Linked DNA regions of Drosophila melanogaster. The protein of the gene in region 1 interacts with the protein of each later gene in a pairwise test. Each region holds a gene or a part of one and is shown on either strand. Other genes may lie near its edges.

What was found.
Region 2: the proteins of mamo (region 1) and CG31848 interact in a two-hybrid assay, tested with the Drosophila melanogaster proteins (one large-scale study listed by BioGRID).

What each region holds. Positions count from the first base shown.
Region 1 is NC_004354.4:13,983,272-13,988,338, reverse strand, and holds the start of mamo (maternal gene required for meiosis), read left to right. Parts: upstream 1-1,896; 5' UTR 1,897-1,968; intron 1,969-2,264; 5' UTR 2,265-3,125; intron 3,126-5,067.
Region 2 is NT_033779.5:13,264,485-13,267,718, reverse strand, and holds CG31848 (uncharacterized protein), read left to right. Parts: upstream 1-1,842; 5' UTR 1,843-1,934; coding exon 1,935-1,937; intron 1,938-2,002; coding exon 2,003-2,638; 3' UTR 2,639-2,723; downstream 2,724-3,234.

The DNA.
Region 1 (5,067 bases):
AAAGTGTTTATGACAAAGTGCTAGAAAAACCGGAAGGACCACATATATATAATATACAAAAAATTACAGAATTTTCGTATTTTGTGTTTGTTGAGGATCACTTAAGTGCCCCAAAAGGTCATGTGTTTTTCTAAGGATTTTAATCATGCATAGCCAAGTTAAAAGTCTTAAGAGGGAAACTAGTGATGTTGCGTTTTCCAAGGACAACTAAAGTCATTCAAAGGATATTGTTTATCATTTCGAAAATGCATAATGTTTCATGTTTCATTTGTACACCATTTTATGTTTGAATTTGTGTGCTTACTCATTCTTATTTACAAGTGTTGACAAGTTCTAATAATAACATTTCGAAACCACGAAAGGAAAGATTCAAATATCCAGTGTTTTGAAGGATTGAAACTATGTTTTTAAGAAGTTAGTTGCAGTTATAAAGAATGTCAATTCCGAATTAAGTGTATAAATATTTTAGGCAAATTTTTAGTAGCTAGGTAGTGGCTATTTATTGCAACAGGCCCTCAAAAAATAATATGTAACTAATATTGTAATGTGTTTTCTTAAATTGTCACTTGTCCTGAATTTGTGAATTGATTAACAAGTGCCAAAAAAAAAACCCAAAAAAAAAAAAAAAAAAAAAAACTGCAGCTTAGACATCAGATTAGAAATTGCCGACGGAATATCGCAGAGCTCTGTTGAAAATATTCTGAGCGGAATTTTTAGTGCATATTAGAACTCTAAATATTAAATGATATTTCAATGATTTTTTTACTGTTTCTTTTTTATGTCAATTTGGCAATTGCATTGTATTATTTAAAGTTTAAATATTTCCATACTTCAATTTTAAATGTATTTGTATTATACTCAACTAAAACTTTTAAGGTTTTAGTGTGAAAGTAATTGTAATTAAAGATTACAATTTTCGATTTTAAATTTTGTATGAAAATGAATTAAAACGAATTGCCACATTTTTCATTTAGCCTTATTCATGTGCTTTACTACTAATTTTGTGGCATGCACATAAAATCGCACTTTTTTTTAAACCAGTGAATAAACATAATTATTTAAAAATGATAAGTTCATCATTTTTGTTGGAAAATGTATTAAAACTTGTTAGATTTATTAAAGCAAATTTATTGAATTTAATAAAAAATTTAAAAGAATAGTTTCGAACCTTGTTTTTTTTGTTTTGTTGAATTTATCAGTTTTTAATATTTTTCTTGCAAACCATTAAAATCGATCAGATTGCATTCCGTTTTAAGATTGATAAAAATGATAGTTTCAATTTTATTTGAGTGATTTGAGGGCATATATGGCATTATTAAAAATAATGCACATTCAACTAGAGTTCTTGTCCTGCGTATTAATTTGTTGGACCTTTCTTTGTCCTTTTATTTGAACCCCAAAAACTTTCGGGAAACATATGGCAGACGGTTGTGTGAGTGTTTGTGGGTTTTATTTTCTGAATGATATGTTGCTGCACTCGTACAGATTACGCATACGCTGCGTTGTCCACTGCGAAGAGAGAGAGAGAGCGAGCGAGCGAAAAGAGAGAGCGCCGCACCGTGCACTTTCTGCGATTGAGTGAAAGAGAAAAAGTGACTCGCGGTGGGAAACGAGGTGCATTTTGGCTCAGCTTTGCTGCGTTTTTCACCGACGCTGCTCTTTTACGAAGCGCGTGCGGCGCTCTTAGTACAAGCACACACCACTCACACACACACACACACACACACACACATACGTATGGACTACGATGTGCAGGGGCACCCACACATAGGCGAACGGGAATCACTCGGCAATACGAAGCAACGCAGTCGCAGTCGCAGCGCTGCCGCCGCGCTGCCAACGCCAATGCTCTTTGGGTTTTGGGCTTTTGGCCAGGCTTTTTGGTTTTGCAGCTCTGTCGGCTTTGGACTTTCGCAGAGATTTCACACGCGATGCGATTGCAGTTCTTGCAGACACTTTCATACGTTCGTTCGTGTTTATTTTCGTTAGCCTTAGCCGCAAACAGCAAATAAATTACATTTTGCCAAGCGACAAAATATTCAAATATTTTACGAATATTTGTACGGAAAATATTTTGGATTCTTTATCGTTTATTTTTTTTTTCTTCTTTATTTTTGTGCGCGGTTTTTGGAAACACGAATTTCGAGTAATAGGTCCTTTTGCATTCATTTCTGTCCTTCATTCATGAAATTAATTTTTTTTTGAATTTTTTTCAAGTGCTCTGCGTCGGTTTCTAACACTAGTTTTTGTATACTTTTTCCCAGGCATAAACTTAAACACAACAAAAATGTTTTATAAATATATTATTATAAAATAAAAAATTACAAATAAATGAAGTAACAGCGAAAGTTTTTAACAAAGTCAACAACAACAACAACCACACAAAAGAAGCAAGAAAATCCTTAAGCGTAATTTTTTTGTATTTCAACAATGCAACAACCACAACAACTACATCTACAACAGGGGCAACAACTGCAGCAGCAACAACAACCGCAAGAACAACAACATCAACAACAACCACAACAACCAAATGAAACAACAACTCAAGGCGGCTTTGCACGTGTGTGTGTGTGAACAACAACAACAACAACAACAACAACAACAAAAGCGACAACAAGCTAAAAACTTTAGAAAAACTTACAACAACTTTTTTGGACTTGGAGCATTTTTCGAAATCTAAACAGCCTAAAGTAAATACCGAAAAATATCCCGCAATTATTTTGTGTTTTTTTCCCCATCTCAAAAACTACAATTTCATTTCAAATAGAAAAACGCAAACAATTTAAACAAAAAACATGCTCTAAGGTTGTGTTAAAGGAAATTAAACCTATTTTGCACCTTAATTCTTTGATTTCAACAAAATTACAACAATTTTTTCCAAGTGAAAAATTTGTGCGAACCGCAGAAAACAGAAAAGTGGAAATAAACAAAAATCAAGTCAAATTTAATTCAATGCAAACAGCAAGTGCAACAACAACATCAACAACAACAACAACCACAAGAAATTCACCCAAAACATCAACAACAACAAAACCAACAACTGCGGCAAAGGCATCAACAACAACACCAACAACAAGAAGAAGAACGAGAACAAAGTTTTGAAACTGCGGTGTTTGGCGTTTATGGTGAGTTTTTTTTTACTTTTCAAACAATTTTTCAAATCATCGAATCATTTATTTGGCACTTCGTTTGCGATATTATTTTATCAAGTGTTTGCGTGGGTCAAAAATCGAACACGAAGTGCTACTCGATAAGAAAAGTGTTAGGTTTGGATGAATTTTGGCCATAAATGGATTAATAGCAAAAGTGTGAAGTGAGAGGAATGGAAAGTGTTGGACAAAAACTTGTTTGCGATTAATTTTGTCCATAGAAGCCTTGAATAAACTATAACTTTGAATTGCAAAAAAAAAACGGCGTTAATTAAATAAAATATTTGCAAAATTACTAGCCATTGGTGACTTAACTAAAATAAGGTGCTAAACAATTTAACTTTGATAAGAAATACACTTTAGGGTCATTGCTACTATAAATGTATGCTAGATATAATATTTTTGATTATATATATATAATATTTGTATATTATTATTCAGACAGACTTCAGTTATTGCTGATTATAAAGAACTTAATCGTAATGCCTATAGTTAAGTGTGAAGATAAACATAAGTTAGTTGATATAAAAAATGGCAATAAAACACCCAGACGTATACATAACTCTATTCACGAATCAGTTTTGTTACCCTTTCCATATATATATATATATATATATATATATATATTTTTTTTTTATCAACCGCTCTTTTGGCGACGACTGTAGCACTTCCCGTTTGAACCGGATGCGCTTTTGGAAAAATTTGCTGAATGTTATCAAATATGTAAAATGGAAATGCACTTTTCTGGGCCACAACAACTGGCAAAAAATAAAATGCATATATCGACAAAGCAAAAAGAGACAAAAAAAAAAAAATAAAGAAATAAATAGTAAGCCAATCAATAAATTGGCAAAAAGAAAAGTAAGTTAACTAAATGCTTGGTCAGTTTTAGAAGTCGCCAGCGAATAGAATCGGCAAGAAGAAAATTCTCGAACTTCCGGCGCCACCAGAGGCGCCAACTAATCATCGCTTTTTTTTTTTGTTTAGCTTAGTTAATCAGGAAATTGGGCAAAAAAAAAAAAACGCTAAAGAAATTGGAAAACTTTAAGATTCAACTTGAATAGATGACATGTTTTGTTAGCACTATAGAATGTTATAAACGTAGTGTAAGTTATGTTAGATTTTATTTTAAGTATTATAAGCAATATATCTCCTTTATATAGCTACGATTTGAAACGAATATAATTTATTAAGCTTATATAAGTGTTTTGTTCTAAAATTAAAGTGGATTTTTTTTTTTAAGAGAAGTCTGCACTTCATGTAATTAAAAACCCACAACACAAGACCTTAACAAGACGAAACGCACTGTCTAGCTTCTTAGCGCGCCTTATCCTCATTCCCATCGCTGTCTCTCGACTTTATCGCAATTATAAATATTTATAAGAAATGAGTCCATACAAACGAATATCATTCCCATTGCACTTGGTGGGGGGTTTTTGAGCGCCGTTTTAATGGCTTCTTTCGTGTTTTTTTTTTTTTTGTTTCTGTTTTGTTTTTCAAATAGTATTATTTTTTATTATTTTTTGCCATACTGCGCAGACGCAACAAGATTTGCAAAATATTCTAATATCATATAGTATATCATGTTTTATTTTTTGACATTTCCATTTCGTTTAATTTCAGTTACATTTTCGTTTGCAAAAATTCATTACAATTCGCGTAATTGCGTTGCCTTTGTGTGGATATTGTTCGTGTGTTTTTCTTCTCTTTTTTTATGTGCAACAGTTTTCGCTCGTGTGTTTTTTTCTAATTATTTTCCGCGAGTGTGATTGTGTGTGTGTGTGTGTGAGTGTGCCTGTGAGTGCAACTAATGAGCAACTGCCGGTCGACTTGCCAGCGGTTGAAATTATTAACTCATTATGGGGTCTCGGGTGTTTTAAGTGCCTCAAGTCAGCCTGTTTTGTTTCGTTTCGTATTT
Region 2 (3,234 bases), on another chromosome or scaffold:
CTTGTTTACTTGTTTTAATACTTTTATACTAATTTATTTTTGTTGTACACTATTTTATCTGAATTTTGCTTTTACACTTGCATAGCACGAAAGTGGGTCGACTATCTTTAAAGCGGACCTCTATCTGCGAATGGGTACAAGCAAGTGGGTTTAAAGAAAGCCCAAAGCAAATTTTTTCCACATCATATATAAAACTATTAGGGCTACGCCGTAGTTCCTTCTGCTTTCTTTGCTGTCCAGATCTGTTTTGAATCGCTTTAGAAGTTAAACAATTGAAATGAAAATATTTGCAACCCATTTGCCAGGTTGCAAGTGCGCTTATCAGTAAATGTGCGCAGAACAAAGAGTTACAATTCAAGCAGCCAAGTACAATGGGTTGTACAATCGATTTACATTTGGCCGATCAGGGGACATGCAAACAAAGGTGCTGTATTGGAGCCTAGGTGGTCGAATGACTCAACCATCGATTGTGGGAATTGAATTTAACCTTTTTTGACAAGGGGCAGCCGACAAATGGTCTGCTGACTCACATCGGCGGAGAAGAATCACTGAAATTTTTGGGGGAACCTATAACAGAATCACTACTATGTGGACCAGCCGTTTTCCGTCTCGCAGAGATACGCTTACGCAGTTGAATTATTTTTAGGCATGAGCTAAAGTTGCTCCGAATTAAGATGGCATTTGCCCGGCCTTTCTGTTAGTATCCGACTTTAATCACTCACTCACTCACTAATTATTAAATTGAAAACACACGCGCTGCGCACAAAAAGTATCTCGTAGGTTCGTTTTTTTTATCTGTATCTGAGGAGCGCACTGGGCGACTGATCGCAGCGGACTCTCGAGACGCATTGAAGTCGGGTTCGGTTCGCCGGAGGTTGGACGGCACATCTGAGTTGGCTTGTTCGGCAACTTGTTGCAGATACATTTCCAGTCGCTTTGATGGTATTGGTGGTGCCGCAAAAGGAAAATCGATCGCTTGACAAACGGCCGACTGGCACGCGGACTGTATAGCAATTTATTTGTCTGTCAATGCAGTTCGATGATGGCGACAAATTTCCAGCTAAACGCCAAAAAGACTTTGCGACGCTTTCGTTTATCTGTATCTGGTATCTTTCGGCTGTATCTGCATCTCTTATCGTGCTACTAATTGTTTTCACTCTACTGTCATGTCGTCTGCTTATTACTTCTGTCGCTTTTCACGATTAAGCCAAATCGAAAGAACGGGTATCTCCCACTTCGGCATTATCTTTAGTTCGGGGGATTTCTTTATCGAATCTGCGCACTCGGCTTGCTCTAATTAACTCATTTGAACAATCATCTGCGGAAATGTGGCCCACTAGCCTTGACAGACAAATAAGATGTTATCTTTTCTGCTGTTTTTTTCTTTCAGTCTTATTTTCATTTTTTGCGACTGCTTTGTGCACAGTTAAATAATAATTGGCAAGAAAGCGTTAAGGAATTTAAAACGCGGAATGACTGGGCTAAAATCATTTTCTTTTGTCGCTCGACATCCACAATTTGTACGAAGTAAAAAACTTAAAATGCCACAAAGAAGGGGAAAGTCAAGAGACAACATCGGCAAACGATTATTGTGGATAGTTCTGGTCATCTACTTTCATTTGATCCCATTATATAGTTTTAACCATGAGCAAGAAAAGTATTTTTGTGTAGCTTTAATAATTTAACTGAACCATATCGACATTTTGGAATATCGAGCAGTTGACTGTAAATAAGTATATAATGAATGTATTTTTAGTATTGGATAATATAATCAACTCCATAAATTCCCTTAAAAGCTAAAGTCACTTTTTAGGAAATATGATTAGCCAAGCGTTTCCTTTCAAGTCACTGACATTTCATAGACATTACCAGATTTCTCAGTTTAATTTCTTAACGAATACTTGGAGAAATACCATTTATCCAGTTCAGAAACTATGGTAAGTTAAAACAAATGCAAGAAAAGCCGCGTGAACTGACCGTTCCATAAAATCTCAACCCCAAGTACCAACGATTCGCCAATTTGAATCTGGAGGCCCTCTATGGAATTCCGGCTATGTGTCCAGTGACCAATTGCCAGGCGCAGATGTCGCCACTCGAGATGCTGGCCCATCTGATGATGCGGCACAGTCCGCAGGACTCGATGATCGAGATTGCTGAGGACGTGCCCAAGCAGTACGAAGTGGATATTGATAAATTGACACCGGGTCGAAATCATTCGATTGGAGTCATCGCCTATGAGGGAGCCCCAAAGCCGGGTCTTAGTTGTGCTGTTACTTCGGATCTGCAGATTGTCCACCATCTGCCCATTATCCTGATGCTCTATGTGAGCCCTCCTATTCTGAACACCGAGCAGGCCTACATCTTATACCTGGTGAGTGCTGTGCCCTCCAGTCTGGTGAGTGCCAATGTAACACTCCTCGACGGATTCCATGCCCACGAGAAGCGCGGATGGCGTTGCCTGCGCAATTCCCTGGACAGTCCATTGATGGATAGTCAGAATCGGCTGTATTGCAACACGGACTACCTCCTGTACACGGCCACCGACATTCGGGAGCTGTGCCTCTCCGGAGAGCAGCGTAGGATCTTCGTCAAGATCGTGCTACACGGCGAGCCCGATCCCTTCCAAGTGGACGCCTAGCAAAAGGTGTCCGGACGAGTGACTCATTTGGTTCAATAAACACTTAAGTGCTGCGCCGCCAATTGACGCACACTTGAAATTCGAGTGGCTGTCAATAATATTCGTTCCTCAAAGAACTGTCAGTGAAATTGGTTTCCCTATTCATTCAATATTTCTGCTTTGGCTGGCCAGAAACTGGGTCAGACAGAGATATTTGGTTTTGTGCAGACATCAATCATGGGGGCCATCTAATTAGTTAGCCACAGGCCTCTGATTGCGGAAAATACTAGAGTCATTTCTTCTGACCGTGAAGAATGGGATTTTTAATTATGTGTTAAATGTTGCTGTGCTCTTTTTGAAAAAAACAATTTCGTTTGATTTTCTCTTTTCACTTTCGTTTCATTTTGTGACCCACTTAGTTGCAGTAGGTTCTTAAATGCAATAGCTTTTTAAAACGATTTTATAAACAATATAGCTAAACATTAAAATAAATGTATTTTTTAGCAAAGTATAAAACATAAGCAAATGCTTAGATCAACGCCTTTAGGTCTAGCGGTTAATCTCATAAATTATCCGAAACTATATAGAAATTAAAGAAACGCAAGAAACATAAACAC